2 linked regions of the Struthio camelus genome follow. The protein of the gene in region 1 interacts with the protein of each later gene in a pairwise test. Links are inferred from orthologs where the notes say so. Each region holds a gene or a part of one and is shown in the gene's direction. Other genes may lie near its edges.

What was found. The genes of interacting proteins can lie anywhere in the genome.
Region 2: the proteins of ITSN2 (region 1) and WAS interact in a two-hybrid assay, tested with the Homo sapiens proteins (2 studies listed by BioGRID). The link is inferred for Struthio camelus from reciprocal best matches to the Homo sapiens genes ITSN2 and WAS.

What each region holds. Positions count from the first base shown.
Region 1 is NC_090944.1:15,522,651-15,533,704, forward strand, and holds the start of ITSN2 (intersectin-2), read left to right. Parts: upstream 1-5,707; 5' UTR 5,708-5,832; intron 5,833-6,480; exon of another isoform or gene 6,481-6,501; intron 6,502-11,054.
Region 2 is NC_090979.1:341,124-351,755, forward strand, and holds the start of WAS (actin nucleation-promoting factor WAS), read left to right. Parts: upstream 1-5,641; 5' UTR 5,642-5,893; coding exon 5,894-6,004; intron 6,005-6,913; coding exon 6,914-7,054; intron 7,055-7,527; coding exon 7,528-7,614; intron 7,615-8,034; coding exon 8,035-8,131; intron 8,132-8,592; coding exon 8,593-8,634; intron 8,635-8,789; coding exon 8,790-8,840; intron 8,841-9,177; coding exon 9,178-9,358; intron 9,359-9,533; coding exon 9,534-9,576; intron 9,577-10,361; coding exon 10,362-10,515; intron 10,516-10,632. Other genes in the region: TBC1D25 (TBC1 domain family member 25), read left to right, coding at 1-16, 609-733, 1,323-1,529, 1,612-3,624. UniProt on the Homo sapiens protein: Effector protein for Rho-type GTPases that regulates actin filament reorganization via its interaction with the Arp2/3 complex. Important for efficient actin polymerization. Possible regulator of lymphocyte and platelet function.

The sequences.
Region 1 (11,054 bases):
AGTTCTTTTCACATGCATTTGTTTCTGCACTTGCAGCTCTGGGTTGCCAAGGTATTATTTATTAATTAGAGCATAAGGATTACAAATTGCAACAAATAACCTTGCTTAACCCTATTAACGTGTTACTGCTAGCACCTCAAAATTGCAAAATTTCTGTATGTTTGTATGTTTCTGAATTCCTGTGCTATAGCTGGTAAAACCTTATTTGCCAAAATTCAGTCTGTATGAGTCAGTGCTGCCTTCACATCACATTCTGGCCTGTCTGGAAATCGACTTTCTATATGGTTATATAGATGTTCTATAAATCTTAAAATAAATTCAGTGTGGTTGGCCAAAGGAGCCTTTGCTACTCTTTGAACAAGTGCAGTCTAGCTTTCCCTCCCCTACAAAATAGTATTTGTCCTTGGCGGGGAACAGAGTTGGGACATGATTTTTTGTTTATTTTATACAGATTAACTAGCAGAAAATCCTGCAAACTAATACAGTAGCTTGTAACGTTTGTTTTTTTAAGTACTGTGTGGGTTTCTGGTTCAGAATTCAAAAGAGGATCTCTAAAAATACTATTTTTGACGTAGTATGTATTTGTGCCTTGTATACCTTTTTGATAACTATTACTCAGAATGAACATCAGAAATACACCACTCCTATTGTGTTAGGTATAGAAAGTATATATTAACTTGTCCGTTTGTTTATCCCATTGGGTTGCATGCTTCCAGGTTTAAATAAAGGCCTAGGCTAAAGAAAGTATCATACATTTGCTCAGAAGGAAGAAAGTGTTTAAACCATTTTGGTGTAAAAACGAGCCTCGCAGCAGCATTAAGTGACAGCTCATTGCTTTCTGTATTAGCTGAGGAGAAAAGGAGGAGGCTCAAAAAAAAAAATGTTAGCATGAATGGTAACATTGATTCGAATAAAGGGGCCAGAGCAGTCATTCATCAGGCAGGTGTGGCTGGTGAATATGTTTTAAATAGCTGGGACAACAAGCTGGACTCTCCAGTTTAGGAAATGCTTCCCATTACCAAGCAAAATTTAACAAGAGACCACAAGTGGAACCTGTGCAGAGCAGCGTGCTGCAATTTTTGCTTTTTGACCATTCAGAAATCGTTGTCACTTTATTTAACATTCCCTGATCCCTAATCAGTCGCCATTCACAGAATGTGGCTTATTCTTGGCAGTAATTGGTTTCTGGTGTTCAAAATTTATGCTCTTTGCTTAATTTCCAATGTTTTAACCATGTGCTTGAAGAGACATATCTGTCAGCAAGCTTGGGCACTACCTGGTCAGAGGGCTCGGACTGGAAGAACAAAGCATTGGGTTTTGGTATGTCTTTCAGCAGCACAGCAGAGAAAATAAGCGATATTTTCAAGTAAACTGAAAGCAGGGAAAAAGTCATGCCTACTGCTCAGTTCAGACCGAGCAACTTTATCCATGATCTCTTTTGCTACCAGTGGAGATCTTCCCTTATTACTCTACAGATTGCAAAGCTGCTTGTACCTGGGAACTGATGATAGAATACAGATAATGATTAGAAAGTAAAGCATTAGAATAAAAATTGGAGTTGTTTTAGTATTTGTAGTTTATCTAGCTTCAGAATTTGTGGTAGGTTTTTGCTTCTGTATGTGGCTTTAGGCTCAGATGTTACAAGGGAAGAATAGCAAATGGTAACATAGTAATACTAAACGTCGAGGTATTGCTTATAGCAAACCCTACTTCTCCTTTTCTGCTTCTCCTACATGTTTCATCTAATGGTCTCTTCTCAGTATTTGCTATGCTGTAACCCTATGTATTTGCTATGCTGTAACCTGTTCCCTATGTGTGGAACAGGTCTCTATGCTATCATACCACTGGTTTCTTCTCCTTTCAGCTGTCTTTCCTATTACTCATCAGTTATTATTAAGTAATTTCCCTGACCCTAATGGCTTTCTGTCACAAACAAATTCATTCCAGCAGTTTTAAGTTGCGTTGTCACTGTCTACTCCTTGCCAGAAAGGTATTAACTCCCACCAGAAAGGGCTTTTCTTTCACCTACTACTTGACATCAGCCCCCAACACTGCATGTTGAAGCCTGCAAAAAGAACGCTCTCCCCAAACTCTGAGATGCCCAAAGGCAGAGACTACAACAGTGCTTCTAGAAACTCCACCTTCACAAAAGTAGAGTGTTTTTCTTCTGAACATACTTTAAGCATTAGACAAACTCAGAATGAAAACAAATTCAATCTATCAAACCAGAGGACAGAATTCTTCATTTTAAAGAAATGGCAATGCACTTACTAAATTAAAAAAAAAAAAACCACCAAAAACCACAGAGTGGACATAATACTTTTTTTTGCCTCAACTATCTTCTCCATTTGGGGAATTAAGAGTTAGTTCAGATTCACTCAAAGGATACATTTTGCTAACACTAGACTTTGGATGTCTACATGCTCCAACTACAAGGAAGAATGATTGACTGCATGCGAATGTGTCTTCACAGCGGCCTGAGTCCTGTTTGTCTTCCTGCTAATTAATCTTACAGATATTTACTGTTCTAATACTACAGATTAGCTCTGCTTATTTTTCTAGAATAAGATCACATAAAGCTTTTACATGCTAATTCCTCACACACGGTTTTCTCCTTGGGGAGTCAGCTGAACTGTGCTTGCTTTCTGACTTCTCCTTCCCAGGCAACGTGGCTCATGTTATTACAGCTTTTCACGGCTTAAATTTGCTATCATGGGAGGTATTAGGCAACATCTGCAGTTATCTCAAAATGAGCTACATTGCTACTTTTCTATAAGCATCTTACATAACAGTAATAACATGGGTATGTCCTCCCACTATCTGTTACGTTTACATAATCAAGTATCCTGATGCCCTTTATACACTTCCTGCTTTGTGCAGTCTGTCACCTAAAAGCAATTGTTAGGCAGCATGTTTGATTGTTGGTTTTTACTGAGTTTAATAACTTATCTTTAGATGGCAGCATGTTTTAGACAGGAGTAGAGAAACAATTTGCGATGTTTTTCAACATAGTACGAGGAATCTCATTACCCATACTGAAGAAGGCTTTTACTTCTTCTTTCATATAGACAGATTATCAAATGTGAGAAACATATGAGAAAACTCTGTTGGCTTTATTTAGCATTACCTGGTATGGGGGAGGGGGACGTTTAACAATAAGAACATAAAACACATAACCAGTAGATGTTAAGTTACAAAAATTGCACTTAGCGTACCAATGTAAGGCGGAATTCAACCCTGAAGATGTAACAGCTTTGAGATACCTCCCTTGCGCTTCTGCTGAAATTTGCAGCAGAGGTAACAGAGGCAGAAAAGCAGGTACCATTAGCAAGTATAGGTCTTATTCTAGCCCGTCCATAGGCTTAAGTAGTTGCAGACCTGTATATAAAATTAAAATCAACTAAACATACATTAAAAATACCCCCCCTACACCATTCACCTTCCCTTGTGATCATGCGTGCAAAAAGTACACCCTACCACATCCTGAGCACCTGGCTCTAAGGTACAGCTTTCCAACTCTCCTCCCTCTGGTTTTATGCATGACTCTTTGGCCAGTGGAACAAATGTCACACAGTACAACGACCCAAATCCATCCCTTTAGCGGGACTAGGCAGTAGCATTAATTATAGGGAAAAAAAACTGTAAGAAGTCATCTAGTTCAATGTTCTGTTTCAAGGCAGGATCAACAAAATTTACATAATTCCTCACAGTTCTTCGTCTAACCTGTTCTTAACGACTTTTGATGACAGATGTTCTACCACCCTTCCCAATACTTAACTATTGTAATTGCTAACCTGATCTTTTTCTTCCTATGAGAAGAAACATGCTTATCAAGTTTATAGTTATCTCCTTCCTCTCTGCAACAGGTTTTTGTGCATCTGGAGACTGTTATATTCAATGTAAGCATTTATCTTAGACCCAAAGCAGGTTGTAGGTGTTGCCTACACAAAAAAGTCACATTTAGAACTATGCAATATCACTATAACATGTAGTAAATTGATTAAAGGCTGCTTATTAATAGACATTAGAAAGTAATTTAAATGAAAAATTGTCATATGAGAGACTTTTTAAATTGGGCTCCAAAGGAATCTGTTCTTGACCCAGTGCTACTCCATTATCTCAGTCAATCAACTGTTTGGCAAAAAGTAAAACACTGCTCATAAAATTTGCAGATCATTTCAGAACAGCTGAAGGCCTAGACGACGGTATAGACTGGTCACCACCGAATGACTTAAATCACATAGTAAGCAAGAGTCACTTGAACAACATATGTTTTAATCCATCTCAATGGCATATATCTTGAGGCATCAAAGACTAGGTTGCTGACTGCGTATAGGAGCCAAAATGCAGAGCATACTTTCAGGCTGGGAGCAAGGAAGGCAGATACTGTATTTTGGAAAGCATTAAGTCAGAAGAGAACTGAGGAGGTCATGAGGGTAAGCAAATGAATGCAAGCTGTCCATGCAATGTGGCAGCTATAACAGCAAATGCAAACATTGGATGTCTAAGCAAAAATATTGAAGAACAGCATGCGCTGCTATGGCCATTATATAGCACAATAAGGAGACTATTCTGGAATCAAGATTAGTTATAAAAGGTGTAACAAATTGGAAAGGTTAAGGACCTAGAAAAATGAGTCTAGAAAAATCTGTTCTGTATTTGAGGGTGATACGTAATTACCTACACAGAAAAAAATAGAGCAGAAAGACACTGTAATCTTTCATATATAGCGCGATCCAGTCATTGAAAAAGCTCTGGAAATGTTTATATAAGAGTACAAGTAATTAATAAAAATCAATGATAAATATATTGCTTAAACAGTTTATGATAATATTGCTTAAACAGTTTTCCAATAACAAACGTACTTCAATTTTTAATGGTTAAAAGCTAAGTCATTTTTTCCCCCCGAGTCTCCTTTTTATAGAATTCCTTAACTCATTTTTTGACAAAATAAACTCGTGAAACCCTAAATATTGCAGTGTGCTGAGCAGTGCCTGATGCTAGCGGAGGTCAGTTCCTCGTGCCTGCCTCATCCTCACCGGCATCGGGGCCCGGCAGCACACGCTTCCCATCCGAGAGCGACGCCCGGCGCTCCCCAGGCCCCTGCGGTAGCTCTCCAGGGGAGGGAGATCACTGCCCAGTGTGCAAAAAGAAGCTGTAATAATTGAGATAGGACTGCGATCTTTAAGAGATCGTTACCAATGTTTAAGAGAAACAGCTAGAAAACCGAAGGAAAAATCATTTGCGGCGAAAAAGGGGTAACGGTTGTGCCAGAAGTTGCAATCAACCGCGAGAAAGACTTCGGTAAGGACGCGGTAAATTTATTTCAACTCGAGGCTTTCAATGGCAGCTGGTTCTACGCCAAAAATGGTGCTGCCCAGCCGGCAACGCCGTCAGGCGCTTCCCGCAAGAGTCGCTGAGCGGCACGGCCGCCCCTGTGCTGCGAAGGCAGACCGGGCGACGTCCGCAGTTGCCCCCTCGGCGCCTCTGGAGCCCCGAGGGGCTGTGAGGGCGCGCGGCTCAGAGCCAGGCGCCGGCGCCCCGCCAGCCCCCGCCCGCCGCCCACCAACCGCTCCAGCCCCGTCACGGCTGGCCGCCGGCGCTGGGGGGCAGGGCAGGGGGCGACGCCCCACGGCCAGGGCCCGCAAGCCGGGGTGCCCTCGGGCCGCGCCTGGCCGGCCCCGGCCCCCCTCCCCTTCCCCCGCCCCGCCGGCCGCCTTCTTGCCCGGGCGGCCCCCGCCTCCGCCGCCATGTTGTGGGGCTGACGCTGCCGCCGCAGGAGGCGGAGGAGGGAAGACGGCGCGGAGCAGGCGCTCGCGGGCGGCGCAACAGGTAGCAGCGGCCGGGGCTGTAACGCGGCGGCGGGAGCGGGGCCCCGAGCCGGCGGGCTGCGGCGGAGCGCGGCGAGGCGAGGACGGGCGTGAGGGGGGCGGCCGGGCTCGGCCGCTCCCGCCGCCGCCGCCGCCGCCGCGGCGCTGTCAGCCCGGCCGCCCGCGGGAGCGGAGGGGCCGGGGCCGGGGCCGGGCAGCGCCGCTCCGCCTCGTCGCCCGACCAAACCGTCCGGGCAGAGCAGGGCGGCGGGGGCGTAGAGGAAGGGTCTGTTGGACCGAGCTGAATTTATTTTTCCCCTTTAAACACCTTTTTTTTTTTTTTTTAAACCTTGCATTTAAAAATAGCGTTTTGCGTATGTTTTGCTCCCGCCGCTGATTTTTTTTTTTTTTTTAATTTTTTCGCCCGAGCGTGAGGCGAGGCCGCCGTGGGGCGGCGCGGGAGCTGTCGGGCCGGGCCGGGCCGCCCGGTGCCGCTGCGGGACCCCGCAGACGTGCGGGGGGCGGAGGGGAAAGAGGCAACGCGAGCAGAACCGAAAACAGCGACTGTAGCTCCCAGCGCTGGCGTTAATTCTGCTGGTCTTAGTGTTGTTAGTAGCGACGAAAAAAAGAAAAATCCCGTGTCGGGACCCAAACAGCTTGGTGCCTACCCGAGGGAGCGGGCTGGGGTTGGGTAAGTGGGGCAGGCTGATGAAGCCAGCTGAAGGGGTAGCTGGCTCGCTAGTCTCATGATTTCCTTTCTGATAGTTGCTGTGAAAACCTGGAGACTGTAGGCATTAAAAGCTGGTGACGGTCAGCTTCTGTAGTTAAAGCCCGCGACTTGTTCTGTTGGTGGATTGCCTTTCCTTCGTCTTGACTTTACACCAGGAAACGTAATAATTCAGGAAATAAAATGGAGCCGCGAAGTACAACCAAGTCCTCTACGCGTAACTATAATAAGTAGTATTTTAATTACATGAATATGATTTTCATAGCGGGTGGCACTCTTGACACCTGTCACGTTGCCGAACTTGAAAGTCGATTGTGCTTTAAGTAGTACATACAATCTTTTAACCTTTGCTCGCGTAAGTCGTGTTACGCCTAAGTCAGAAATTCCTCATCTAAAACACCGGAATGAGAAGTTACAAGCCGCTCGCCCCTACCTTCGGGCAGCTGGATCCCACGCATCTCTTTGGGAAGCTAGCGCTTTAAAGTTGTTTCGTTCGTGCTTGCCTGGGGTGGCAGCAGTTCCTGCATTTGTGTATACACAGGAAAACATAGGAAGCTTATTAAGCAGTGTGCATAGCCTGCTTCGCCACGGTGCGTATAGCATTAGTGGTTCATAAAATGGATTTTGCTTTAGAGAGTTTTAGATGAGCGTTTTTCTGAAATTCAGTTGAAACGTAACTGTAGCTGTAATAAGATCTGGATCCGCTGATGTGACAGTGATATTTAGAAATTACGAGCGTTAGGAATTGACTAGGTAACTGGCTGGGGCTTCATTCTTGCATTAAACCTTATTCATTTTCTTTCTCATCCCTCCACTTTACCATCCCTGTTTATTTTTTCCATTCCTTTTATTTTAAGTTGGGAGGGAAGGGTTCACTGTCTTACTTATAGAGCTTGAAGATCCATATGAAGTTAAGAGAGAAATGGATCCCTGTAAACATGGATTTACATTGCCCAGTGCTCTCAGATATATAGCAGTTTTGGTCAAATTAGCCTCCTAACTCAGATATCTAAATTAGATCAAGTGACTATGCTCTCCCTTTTAATTACTATTTCGGAAGGGTTAATTTTTTTTCCCCTCTATCTATAGAAGATCTAGGGTATGGGATGTATCCCTGACTGCGTTCTCAGTTGCTACTGTAATATAAAGAACGTTTTATAAGGCTAACAATGGCAAAAGCACGGTAGCTACTGTTCTTTGTGCTTATCACCGTATGGTGCTACCTGTCATAGGAGGTGTTATGCTAGCAGTGAATTATGGCCTGTGTGTGTTTGTTTTTTTCCCTCGTTGTTACAGACCAACTGGGATGGATCAAGGCGGAAGTGAGCTGTTAATGACTTCAAACTGTGTTGTTGAGGAGGCTTTATATATTGACTTTCAGGTATTAGAGTGATAGAGACTATGGAGGCTTATTCACAAATATTTATGTTGTGGTCTTTAATATTAAAAAGTGAATTAACTTCATCTTTGACAGCTGCTACCTGACTACGAAATAAAGTTAAAATCTGTATGCTGTTGTAACTATTCATTCAGCTACTTATGTGGAGCTGATGGGGGGAAAATGGGACAGGGTTTGAAAAATGAAAGCTAACGTAGGTGCTTTACCCGAGGCATTGTTAAAAAGCTTCCTAATCCTTGAAAACAGGTATCTATCAGGAAAGGACCATGTGATTAATTACTGAAAAGCATGGTAGTTGGATCACTAGATCCTGTTGCAAATTCAGACAGAAGTCTTTGGTCTGAGAGATGACCTGTTATTTACAGGTGAAGCCTCTCTCTCACCTTAAAAGATTTAGTTGAATCAGTTTGTATAACTGGGGGTGGGGGGAAAAACATTCCATCTGACTTCCTTTGGAAGTCCTGAATTCTTCCCTTTGTTTTTTATGTGTTTTATTTTTTTGAACTGGCTCAAAAGTTGGATATATTCGTTTTTAATGTTCATTTCTGGCCTATTTTCACTTGAAATATCTCAAATTTCTCAGTTTTAAAAATAACTTTTAACTGCTTCCATTTGCTTTCATTTGCCTAAAATGTAGTCATAGGATAATTTAGCTTGGAAGGGACCTCTGGAGATCATCCAGTTCACGCCGCACTCGAAGCAGGGCAATCCGCTTGCTTGACGCCATGTCGAGTCAGGTTTGGAAGACCTCCGCGGGTGGAGATCCCACAGCCTCTCTGTGCAGCCTGCTCCAGTGTTTAACCCACTGCCAATGTGTCAACCTCTCTTCTGAGTTTGACATTCTCCAAACTTGCTGTGGGTGCACGTTGTCCCCTTGTCTTCGCTGACAGTCTGGACGTTACGCGGTATTTATTGGCCATCGTATCAACTTCTAAGGAGTAATATTAGTAAGAGGCTGCTAGATGGTTTTCGCACTACTGGTTGCAGCCCTTTAAATCCAGTGGTTGAGCCGGTTTTCCACCTAATTTACAGTCCAGCTATTCAAGCCATATCTTATCATTTTGGCTCTATGGATACTATGGGAGGCCTTGCTGAGAGCCTTCCTAAAGTCAGCACCCATGGTTTTCCCCTCATCCAAAGAGCTCGTAATCACAGAAAGCTGTCAGGTGGCTCACGTCTGGTTTATCCTGGGTAAATGCCTGCTGGCTCTTCCCAGTCACCTTCCTGTTCTTTGAGCATCTGTACATGGCTCCCAGCAGCATTTGATCCATAATCTTTCCAGGGCTTAGCAGCCTTTTGTGTCTCCACGTTGTCCCTCTTGCCCTTCCTGAAAATTTGATCTTTGCCTTTTTCCGGTCATCGGGATCCCCAATCACCGTGACTTTTCCGAAGTCATAGAGAGCAGTCTTGCAATGACATCAGCTCTCAGCAGCACTGGTCCTGTGCTTTGTTCTGCATGTATTCCACTGCTATACTTGTTTTCAGGTTACCTTATTTTGACTTCTGAAGGCTGTTTTCAGTTCAGTGTAATACCACAAACTCTTGGCAAGGTCTTAGATGTTGGGTCGTGCCACATTTCTAAGCTTTTGAGGGAAGTTTGATGAACAGTCCTTTTGTGAAAATTCTGAGAGCGGAAGGTTGCTGAATTTATGAACTTGTGTTGTTGCTTTTAGATGGGAGCACTCATTTCGTGTGGCTAAATGATACGGGAAAGTCTGCCCTTTCTTCCCCTTTCTCTTCATGTTAGGTAATCAGAGGTGATTGTAAAGATAACAAAGGTAATGGAGAGTTAGTTAAGGAATTGCTCTTAATGCACTTAGATGCATTTTAAACACTATCACTTGTCAGTACTGTATTCTTTTCAGCTTCAAAAACACATTATTGTCATTTAACTTCACATCTTTGAAAATCAGATTTTCTTTTTGTGCCCTGGTCGACGATAGATGATGCAACAGATGATTTGCAGGGCAAACACTGTTGTTAGATTGCAAGCAATGAATACCTAGTCAGATTTTCAGAGTGCTTTAAGCAGCTGTCTTAAGTGATCTTCAAATTCTCAAATGCTTAGTTGCAAATGTAGATGCCTAAATACCTCTGGAAATCTGTTTTTCAGTGCTTGTCAGTGCAGAACTGTGAGGCTCGTCTCTGACTGTAAGTTGAGTTTCTTCTGAACAACGGGCCAACGCGAGTTGAATTTCTAAACCAGCCGTGAGCGGTGCCAGTTGTGAAGCTTTGTTTCCTGTGGCTGTTTGCATGTAGTCAGAGGCAAGCTGTAGTTGAAGTTTTTTCTCATGGCTGGTATGTTCAGAACAGCTTTGAGTCACGTGGATGCTCTGGGGTCTGATGTTTATAGGCTAACTTTGGTGGCGTCTTCTCTGCCTGGCTGCCCGTTTTCTTGAATCTTGCAAATAGTCAGTATCTTTGTGAAGTGCGCCGTTCCGTCAAATTTCGTTCATGTTGGTTCCGTGATTAGTCAACGCGCATAGTAATTACTCATATCTCATGCCCTTACAAGTCACACTAAAAATTTAAGTATGCTAATTATTAGCCTATTGCTCCTCCTTCCATTGATTCACTTGTCGATTGGGGTTTTTTTTTCATTCTCAGATTTATTTAAGAAAGCTTCTTTTTCTAGAGCTGTTGTTTCTTTAGGGACAGAATTTTAAAAGGATAAAGAGTCTCCCAGAAGCGTGGGACTAGCCCAGTTACAGTCGATGGAAGGCTTCAGTTTCTTTTGAGGGCAACGTATGAGACTTTTTGTTAATGATACCTCTTGAAATGGTATTTTTGAAACTTCATGAACATATGCGCTTACCTTCAAGAAAATAAAGACACGCATCAGTAAAAAAAAGAGTTGAGAAATTTTCATTAAGTAACACCATGTTGCCAGGAGTTGTGTTTTAAACTGTTAAGAGATGTCACAGAGCACTGGTAGGAGACAGCTGAGAGCAAGTGTTTTTTTGTTTTTTTTTTGTTTTTTTTGTCATATACTGCCTAGATAGCAAGCAAGAAAAGATTGTTAGTTTTATTTCTTCAGGAAAGAAGAACCACACATGCTTTGTTAAATTGCATGTTGCAAGATTATACAGAAAGTGACTGTAGTGCCTTTTTTTCCCTG
Region 2 (10,632 bases), on another chromosome or scaffold:
CGCCCACCCGACGACAGTGAGTGCCGCCTGGCCGGCAGGCCCCAGCATTTGGCAGAGCCCCGCCCTGCTGGCCAGAGGGTCCTGGTGTCTGGGAGGACCCACGCGACCCCTTTGAGGGCTGGGTGGGGGGACCCAGCCATCTGGGAAGAGCCACATCTTCCCCTTAGGGAGTGGGTGGGGGGACCCAGGGGTCTGGGAGAGCCCCCACCCTCATCACCCAGGGACCCAGGTGTCTGGGAGAGCCCCAGCCCCATCTGTCAGGGGGCCCCAGAGTCCGGGAGGAGCTGCATTTTCTCCTTGGGTACTGGCTGGGGGGACCCAGGTGTCTGGGGAGAGCCCCTGATCCCAGGACCAGAAGGGGACCCAGGCGTCTTGGAGAGGGTGGGGGGACCCAGGTGTCCTGGGGGTGGCACATCAGGGGCCCGGGTGTCTGGGTGCCCAGGGTGGGCTCTCGAGCAGCGTAGAGGAGACCCAGGTGTCCGAGCGGCCTGGGGGTTGTCATGGGGGCTCTCGAGTGGCATGGTGGGGACCCAGGCGTCCAGGGACCCGTGGGGGGCAGGGTTGCAGGAGTGGCGGAGCAGGAGGGACCCAGGCGTCCGGGCCCGCAGGCCCGCTGCTGGAGGACTGGGACATCATCAGCCCGCGGGAGGCGGCGGGGGCCGAGCCCCCCGGGCCCGAGCGCCGCTCGCTGCTGGCCGCTGCCCTGCCCTTCACCCAGGCCCTGCTGGCACAGGTGGGTGCAGGGCCTCCCAGGGCTCCCAGTTCCCCTCCCCAGGCCCTCCCAGAGCTCCCAGTTCCCCTCCCCAGGGTCTCCCAGCGCTCCTGGGCTCCCCCCCAACACCTCCCAGTGCCCCTCCGACGCTTCTCAATGCCTCCAGTTCTCTCCCAGACACCTCCCAGTGTTCCTAATTCTGCTCCAACACCCCCCATGGCCTCCAGTGCCTCCAGTCCCTTCCCAGACACCTCCCAGATCTCCCCCTCTCTCCTCCTTCTAGTGCTCCTAGTGCCCCTCGACACTTCCCAGAGTCCCCAGTCCCTTCCCAGATGCTTCCCAGTGTCCCCAGTCCCCTCCCAGGTGTTTCCAAGTGTTCCCAGTTCTGCTCCAACACCTCCCAGTGCTCCTTTGACACCTTCCAGTGCCCCCAGTCCCTTCCCAGACACTTCCCAGTGCCCCTTGACACTTTCCAGCGCTCCCACTCCCTGCCCAACACCTTCCAATGCTTCCTAGACTCCTCCTAGTTCCCCCTCAACACCTCCCAGTGCTCCTAGTCCCCCCCCAACGCCTCCCCGTGCTCCTGGCTCACCTGCCGCCCCCCACACAGGTGGGCCGGACACTGGCGCGGGCGCAGGCGGCACTGGCCTGGCCTGAGGGCTCCCCACCGCCACCGGCGTCGCCTCCGCCACCGCCGCGGGCCCCGCTGAGTGATGCTGACCTGCGCAGCTACCTGGGCCCCGGTGGGCGCCTGGCCCGGCCCCGCGACCTCCGCCTGCACGTCTACCACGGGGGAGTCGAGCCCGGCCTGCGCAAGGTATGTCTTGCCCCGCCACCGTCCCCCACCCCTCCTGCCCGGATGCCAGGGTCCCTAATGGCGTGGCCTCATCCCCGCACAGGTGGTGTGGCGCTACTTGCTCAATGTCTTCCCGGCGGGGCTCTCGGGCCAGGAACGCCTGGCCCACCTGCGGCGCAAGGCAGCCGAGTATGGGGCGCTCAAGGCCCGCCTGGCGGCCCAGGCGGCCCCTGGCGAGCTGGCGCTGGTGGGGGCTGCTGTGCGCAAGGACGTGGTGCGCACTGACCGCGGCCACCCCTACTTCGGGGGGCCTGAAGAGGGGCACCCGCACCTGGCCGCCCTCCAGGCCTTGCTCACCACCTTCGCCCTGGGCCACCCGCGCTTGTCCTACTGCCAGGGTATGTCAGATGTGGCTGCCCCACTGTTAGCCGTTCTTGATGACGAGGCCCAGGCCTTCATCTGCTTCTGCGCCCTCATGCGCCGCCTGGCTCCCCGCTTCCGCCCTGGCGGCCGGGGCCTGGCCCGGGCTTTTGGGCACCTGCGGCGGCTGCTGCGGCGCGCCGACCCGCCGTTCTGGGCCTTCCTGGCCGCCCGCGGCGCCCACGACCTCCTCTTCTGCTACCGCTGGCTGCTACTGGAGCTCAAGCGGGAGTTCGCCTTCGAGGACGCTCTGCGGGTGCTGGAGATCACCTGGAGCTCGCTCCCACCTGCCCCGCCGCCCCCTGCCGACGGTGTGCCGCTCCTTGGTGCCCCCCTGGGCCCCCGGCGGGCTCGCTGTGGGCTCCGCGAGCGCCGCGGGCTCCGGCCCCGGCCCCCCCGACGGCACCGGCGCCAGTGCAGGGCCCAGGAGGCGGCTACGCTGGGCGCAAGAGGAGCTGAGAAGGAGCCTGGAGACGACGCTGAGGGGCTGAGTGGCCTCGGGGATGTCCTAGAGGCTCCAAAAAGCTGCGGAAACCTCCAAGAGGATCCAAAGGTCTCCAGAGATGTCCAGGAGGATCCAAATATCCCCACAAACGCCCAAGAAGATCCCAAGATCAGTGACGTCCAAGATGCTGCTAAGGTTTCCACAAACATCCAGGAGGATCTGAAGGTTTCCCAAGGTGCGCCAGGTAGTCCTGAGATCTCCCAGGATGGTGGAGCGAAGTCGGAGGTCCCAGATAATCCCGAGACCAACCGAGGTGTCACAGAGGATCTCCATGTCTCCCGGGACATCCCAGAGGATCCCAAGGCCTCCAGGGAGGCCAGAGGGGGACCCGGTGTCCCCAAAAAGGCTGATGAAGACCCTGACATCCCCAAGGAGGTTGGCCAAGACCCCAACACCCCCAAGGAGGTTGACCAAGATCTCAGCATCTTCAAGGAGGCTGAACAAGACTGCGATGTCCCCCAGAAGCTCAGCCAAGGTCTCAACGTTCCCAAGGTTGGCCCAGAACCCGACATCTATAAGGAGGTTGGTCAAGACTTTGGTGTCACCAAAGAGATTGGGCAAAACCTCAACGCGTTCGAGGAAGTTCGCCAAGATCTCAACGTGCCGCAGGAGGTTGGCCAAGATCTCAGCATCCTCAAGGAGGTTGGTCAAGAACCCAGCGTCTTCAAGAAAGTTGGCCAAGACCCAGGTGCCTTCAAGGAGATTGGCCAAGAGCTCCGCAGCCCCCAGAAGGTTGGCCAAGACCCTGACGTCCCCGAAGACGCTGAAGCAGACGCTGCCACCCTCCCCGAGGTTGGTGAAGCTGATGATGACCCCTGGGCCGGCCCGTGGGCTTGGGAAGATTCCTCCTCCTCCTCTTCCTCCTCCTCCTCCTGCTCCTCCTCCTCCTCGTCGGAGGACGAGGTGGGTGTGGAGGACGACGGGGCGCCGCTGCCACCGCCGGAGGAGCTGGGCCAGGGCAACCCCTTCCTGCTCTTTGTGTGCCTGGCCATGCTGCTGGAGCAGCGTGAGGCCGTCATGGCACGGGCCAGCGACTACAATGAGGTGGCCATGCACTTTGACCGCCTGGTGCGCCGCCACGACCTGCCCCGGGTGCTGCACCGCGCCAAGGCCCTCTTCGCCCGCTACCTCGAGGGCTGGGGGGGGCGTGGCGGCCCCGGCGCGGGTGACAGCGACCCTGCTGAGCCCTGACGCCTGCCCCCTGCTGCCGCGCCTGGCCGAGAGGGGTGTGGGGGGAGCTGGGGGCACCTATGGAGCCCCCAAGGGGGCCCCGAGACCAGCTGAGGGACGCAGAGATGTCCGTGGGGGTGTATAGATGCCTCTGGGGACCCTATAAAGCCCCTGAGGTGGCCCACAGAGCAGCTTAGGGACCCCAGAGATGCCTATGGAGCGGTGTAGAGATCCCTGGGGACCCTATGGAGCCCCCAAGTGGGCCCTGAGACCGGCTGAGAGACCTGGAGACGCCCATGGGGGGCTATCGATGTCCCATGGACCCTATAGAGCCCCCGAGGAGACCCATAGACCAGCATATGGACCCCATAGATGCCTGGGGGGACCTATAGATCTTCCTTGGGGACCCCTAGATCAACATAGCTATTCTGAAGGCATGCATGGGGACCCATAGATCCCTTTTGGGGACCCATAGACTCCCTTAGGGACCTGTAGAAAATCCTGGGGACCCTATAGATCCCCCTTGGCAGCCGTAGACCAACATAGGGACCTTGTAGGCACCCATGGGTACCTATAGCTCTCCTTTGGGGATCTGTAGGTCCCCCTTGGAGGCCCATGGACCAATGTAGGAATCCCCTAGGTACCCCTCAGGGACCCATAGACACGCCTGGGAATGTATAGGTTGGCATAGGGATCCCCTTGACACTTCTCAGGGACCCAGAGATACCCATGGGGATGCCCTGAGGACCCATAGACCACCATAAGGACCTGTAGGCACCCCTCAGGGACCCATAGATCCCCCCTGGGGACCCATAGGCCCCCATGGGGACTGTAGGCACCTACTGGGGACCTGTAGACGCCTGCTACGGGGAGCCAGGGACATCGCAGCAGCCCCAGTACGGCCCAGTACAGCCCACTGCCTCCCCTGCCATTTCTCTACGTCGCCTCGGAGCGTCCCGGCGTGGACCAGTATGAACCAGCGTAGGTCTGGGGGCCCAACTGGGAGCTCCTGCATCTCCATGGCCTTGGGTTGGACCAGTTCGGACCAGCATGGACCAGTACAGCATCCTCATCGGGATTCCTCACCTGCGTGGCCTTGCGCCGTCCCAGTCCAGACCAGTACAGCGGCAGAGCTGGAATCTCTTCACCCACCTGGCCTTGGGCCATCCCAGTACGGACCAGTATGGACCAGTATGGCATCTCAACTGGGAGCTCCTCACCCACGTGGCCTTGCGTCTCCCAGTATGGACCAGTACGGACCGGTAGGGCACCCCCACTGGGACCTCTTCACCCACACAGCCTTGGGTCCTGCCAGTATGGACCAGTACAGCCCAGTGCCCTCCCCACCCGGTGCCTTCCTATGTCCCCCCTTTATTTATTGCCCCCCCCCCGCCCTCCATCCTACTGGGAGGGGCCCAGGCGTCCGGGGTGCTGCGAGGTGCAGAAGACGCAAATAAACCTGACGCCCATGTTTGTCGTTTGGAGGCTCCCAGTATGGACTGGGGATGGGCTGGGTGGGTCCCATTCCATACTGGGGAGGGATTACAGGTGCTTATATCGATTGGGAAGGAGCTGGGGATCCCAATCCGTACTGGGAAGGGGCTGGGGGAGTCCCAGTATGGACTGGGGAGGGGATAGGGCTCCTAGTATGGACGGGGAAGGGGCTGGGAGGCTCCCAGAATGGACTGGAATGACAATGAGGGATCCAAATCCATACTGGGAAGGGTCTGGGGGTCCCAATCCATACTGGGAAGGAGCTAGAGAGCTCCCAGTATGGACTGGGAAGGGGATTGGGGGGGGGTCCCAGCCTATACTGGGCCTGCAGTATGTACTGGTGGGTCGTGGCATGGACTGGGAAGGGCCTGGGGTTCCACTACAGACTGGGATGGTCCCAGTACGGTCTAGGACAGAGTTGGGACTCCCCTGAGGGGGGAGGGGAAGCCAAGGCGCCCGGATGCCTGGGCCCCCAGCCAGGGGGGAGGAGGGGGGGCCGCGGCCTTTGGCTGCTCCCAGTCCCTCCCAGTTCACCCCAGTGCCCTCCCAGTTCACCCCAGTCGCCCCCAGTCCGGAGGTGACGCGCGCTTCCGGGCCCGCTACACGGAAGAGGCCTCCGCGCGGGACCCAGGCGTCCGGGCCGAGGGCTCCCCACCTCTGCAGGGGACACAGGCATCCGGCTCGGGGAGGTGTTTCCCCCCCAGCCTCCTCCAGGAAGGGGGCCCAGGCATCCGGGGCCCATAAGCGGGGCCGGAGCCGGCGGGGGAGTGGGGAAGGGGCCCAGGTGACTGGGGCGATGAGCCGGGGGGGCCGGGGGGGGCCACCGGGGCCCGACAACGTCCCCTCGGAGCTGCTGCAGCAGCAGGAAAACCTGCGGCTCTTTGAGCTCCTGGGCCGGAAATGTGTGGTGAGGGGCCGGGGCAGATCTGGGGGTCCTGGGGGGGATTTGGGGGGCCCTGCAGGAACCCTAAGGGCTCTGGGGGGGATCTAGGGGGTCCTGGGGGGGGCTGTGGGGGACTTGGGGGGATTTGGGGGTCCCTGCAAAGGCCCTAAGGGTTCTGGGGGGATCTGGAGGGTCTTAGGGGGGGATTTGGGGGTCTGGGGGGGCCCTAAGGGCTCTGGGAGGGTATAGGGGGAATATGGGGGGCCCTTGGGCTGGGGGGGTCCTGGGAGGGGCCTAAGGGGTCTAGGGGGGGATCTGGAGGGGATATAGGGAGTCCTGGGAGGGATTTGGGAGGGATATGGGGGATGGGGGGATTTGGGGGGTCCTGGGGGGCTCTAAAGGGTCTGGGGGATATTTGGGTGGATCTGGGCAGTCCTGAGGGGGATTTGGAATCCCAAGGGGGTCAAGGGGGTGTTTGCAACATCCTAAGAACCTGTAGGAACCCCCTTGAGTGCTATAGGAGCTCCCCCCAGGCACTAGAGCCACCCACCTAGTCCCTGTAGAGGCCCCAGGTGCTATAGGGCCCCCACACATGCTTTAGAGCAGCTCCTGGGTGCTATAGGAGCCTCTCAGGTGCTATAGGGTATCTTTAGGGGCCATAGGGGCCCCTTGGTGCTATACATGCCCAAGTTGCTATGGGGTCCCCCCGGGTGCTATAGGAGCCCTTCGGGTGCCCAAGTTGCTATAGGGCCCCCTGGGTGCTATAGGGGATCCCTAGGTGCTATAGGGGCCCCCCAGGTGCTGCAGACCCCAATGAGCCCCCAGCCCTACAGGGACTCCCCAGCCCCATACCTCCCCCAGCACCGCAGGGCCCCCCCAGCGCCCTGCCCCCCCCCAGGGGTGCTATAGGCGCTATAGGGGCGGCTGCGGCAGACGCTGGCGACGGCGGTGGTGCAGCTGCTGGAGGCGCGGGGGCCGGGGGGGGCGGCGTGGACCAAGCGGGGCTGCGGCGTCGCCTGCCTGGTCAAGGACAGCCCCCGGCGCTCCTACTTCATCCGCCTCTACGACCTGCGGGTGAGCTGGGGGCCCTGGCATCCAGGTGGGGGGGCGGGAGACCCCCACGGGCTGGGTAAGAGGTGGCCAAGGGACCCAGGCGTCTGGGCGGGGGAGCCCAGGGGATGGACCACCACGGGCTGGGTGGGAGATGGCCAAGGGACCCAGGCGTTGGGGTGGGGGAGCCAAGGGGACCCAGGTGTCCAGGCAGGGGTGGCGGGAGACCCCATGGGCTGGGTGGGAGGTGGCCAGGGGACCCAGGCATCCGGGCAGGGGAGCTATGGGGACCGAGGTGTCTGGATGGGGGAGCCACGGGGACCCAGGCGTTGGGGTGAAGGAGCCACGGGGACCCAGGCGTCCAGATGGGGGAGCTATGGGGACCCAGGTGTCCGGGCGGGGGAGCCATGAGGACCCAGGCGTCCGGGCGGGGGGGGACGGGAGTCCCCACGGGCTGGGTGGAGGTGGCCAAGGGACCCAGGTGTCTGGGCGCGCAGGGCGGGTGCCTGTGCTGGGAGCAGGAGCTCCGGGCCCACATGGGCTATGCTGCCCCCACCCCCTTCTTCCACACCTTCCCTGCTGACGTGAGTAGGCGGGGCCAGGGGCGGGGGCGGGGCTTCGGCTGCTTGGGGCAGGGTAGGGTGGAGCCAACTGGATGGGGGCGGGGCTACAAGCTGGGGTGTGGCTACAGGTGGGGGTTGGGGTGGGGCTAGAGGTGGGGGTTGGGGCGGGGCATCCGGCCTGAGGGCGGGGCTCTGGCTCTGGGGGCGGGGCCGAGGGCGGGACTCTGTGCTGGGGCAGGGCTTCAGCATTGTGGGTGGGGCCAAGGGTGGGGTTAAGAGACTGGGGGCAGGGCTTAGAAGGCAGTGGGTGGGGCTAAAGGGGCCTGAGATGGGGCTGATGGATGGGGCAGGGCTAAGGGAGTGTGGGTGAGGTGGAGGGTCTGGGGTGGGCTGGGGCTGGGGCGGGGCTGGGGCGGGGCCAGGCGGTGATTGGCTGCGCAGGGCTGGCAGGCGGGGCTGAACTTCGCCCACGAGGGGGAGGCGGCAGCGTTCCAGGCCCTGGTGGAGGAGAAGGTCTGGAAGCAGCAACAGCGGGCGGGTGAGCTGCCCCACGGCCCTGCCCCATGGCCACCCACGGTGCCCCACAGCTTCCCCATGACCACTCACGCTGCCCCACGGCAGCCCCAGGGCCACTCACACTGCACCGGAGCTGCCCCACAGTGGCCTATGAGGCACTGGGGCTGCCCCACAGCCACCCCCCCTGTGCCAGGGCTGCCCCATGGCCACCCACGCTGCCCCGTGGCAGCCCCAGGGCCACCCACACTGCACCGGGGCTGCCCCACAGCAGTCCACGAGGCACCAGGGCTGCCTCATGGCCACCTCCAACAGCCCACAATACACACTAGGGCTGCCCTATGGCAACCCACAGTGCACTGGGGCTGCCCCACAGCCACCCACGATACACTGTGGTTGCCCTACAGTGACCCACTATGCACCAGGGCTGCCCTGGTGCCCGCCACGCCATGGGGCAGCCCCACATTAGCCCCTTTCCCTCCACAGAGAAGCGACAGCTCCCACCCCCACCACCCCCCACGGCTGATGGTGAGTTCCCCCCCCTATCCCGGGAGGCTTTGCGGGGCTGTGGAGGGGGCGCCGTGGGGCAAAGAGCCACGGGGAAGGAGGAGCCGTGGGGTGGCCATGGGGGGGATGTTGTGGGGCAGCCGTGGGGCGCTGACCTCCTCTGCCCCCCATCACAGAGCGCCGCGGGAGTCTGCCCCGGCCCCCTGCATCTGCCGGGGATGGCTGTGGTGAGTGACTGCCCCATAGCAGGGGCTCCGCTGCCCCACAGCGGGGTCCCTGCCCCATAATGGAATGTCCCTGCCCTATAAGGGGATCCTTGATGCCCCATAGCAAGTGGTTCCTGCCCCATAGTGGGGTCTCTCCTACCCTATAGTGGGTTTGCCTGCCCCATAGCACAGTCCCTGCCTCATAGCAGTGTTCTAGCCCCCTAGCAGGGTCCCCTCTGCCCCATAGTGGGTTCCCCTGCACCATAGCCAGTCTCTACTGCCCCAAAGGGAGTCCCCCTGCCCCATAGTGGCCGCCAAGCCCCATAGCGGCCCCCGCCCCACACACATGCCCCCGCAGCCCCCCCAGTGCCGGCTGTGCCCATTGCCAACCCCGACATCACGGCGAGCCGCTACCGGGGGCTGCCCAGCCCCACGGCTGGCCCCACAGCGGGCCCCACAGCAGGCCCCACAGCCACTGACCGCAAGCGGGGTCGCAAGAAGATCTCCAAGGCTGACATCGGGGCACCCTCCGGCTTCAAGTAGGTCTGGGATGTGTGGGGCTGGGGGGATGTGTGGGGTGGGGAGATGTGTGGGGCAGGGGGACGTGTGGGGCTGGGGGGGACGTGAGGGGCAGGGTACATATGGGGCAGGGCTCGGCCATGGGTCCAGCCCTCCTGCTATGGGGCAACCCCTCATATCACCACCCCCCACCAGGCACGTGGGTCACATCGGATGGGACCCCAACAGCGGCTTCAACGTACGTCACCCCATAGGGGCTGTGACCCTCAGGCCTTATGGGTGGAAGAACCCTGTGGGCCCCATAGGGGGGATGGACCCCCCCAAGCTCTATAGGGGAGAGACCCCCTGGGCTGTATAGGAGAAACACCTCCCTCCCATGGGCACTAGAGCTCCCCTGCAGAGGCTATAGGCCCCACACCCCTCTAGGTGGCAGCTATGTGCCCCACACTGCCCCGGGGTGGGTGCTATAGGGCCTGTACCCCCTTAGGTGGGTGCTATAGGGGTCATAACCCCCCAGGGCAAGTGCTATAGGGCCCGTACCCCCCCCCCGGGGCTGGCATTATAGAGGTCATACCCCCTGAGCCAGGCTCTATAGAGGTCATACCCCCTGGGGTGGGGTTTATAGGTTCCATATCCCCTGGGGTGGGTGCTATAGGTCCCATATCCCCTGGGGAGGTCCTATAGGGGTCCTATCCCCTGGGGCAGGCACTATAGGTCCCATATCCCCTGGGAAGATCCTGTGGGGTCCCCCCCCAGGGTGGGTGCTATAGGTCCCATACCCTCTGGGGAGGTCCTATAGGGGTCCTATCCCCTGGGGCAGGTGCTATAGGTCCCATATCCCCTGTGGTGGGTGCTATAGGTCCCATAGCCCCCTGGGGAGGTCCTGTGGGGTCCCACCCCCCCAGGGTGGGTGCTATACACCCCACGCCCCCAGGGCGGGGCGGGCAGCACGGCCCCATACCCGCGGGGAGGGCGGCGGGTGGTGCCAGCAGCCCTACGGAGGCCGTAGGTGCCGGGCCGCAGGTGCAGGAGCTGGACCCAGACTTGCGGGCGCTGTTCGCCCGGGCCGGCATCAGCGAGGCGCAGCTGGCCGACGCCGAGACCTCGCGCCTCATCTACGACTTCATCGAGGGCCAGGGCGGCCTGCAGGCCGTCAAGGAGGAGATGCGCCGCCACGGTGAGCCCCCCAGCGGCCGCGCAGCGCTCCCTGCGCCCCCGGGCCCGAGGGGCTCCGCCGCCCCGATGACGGCAGCCACCTGTCTCCTCCGGGGTAGGCCCCTCAGGCCCCGCTGTA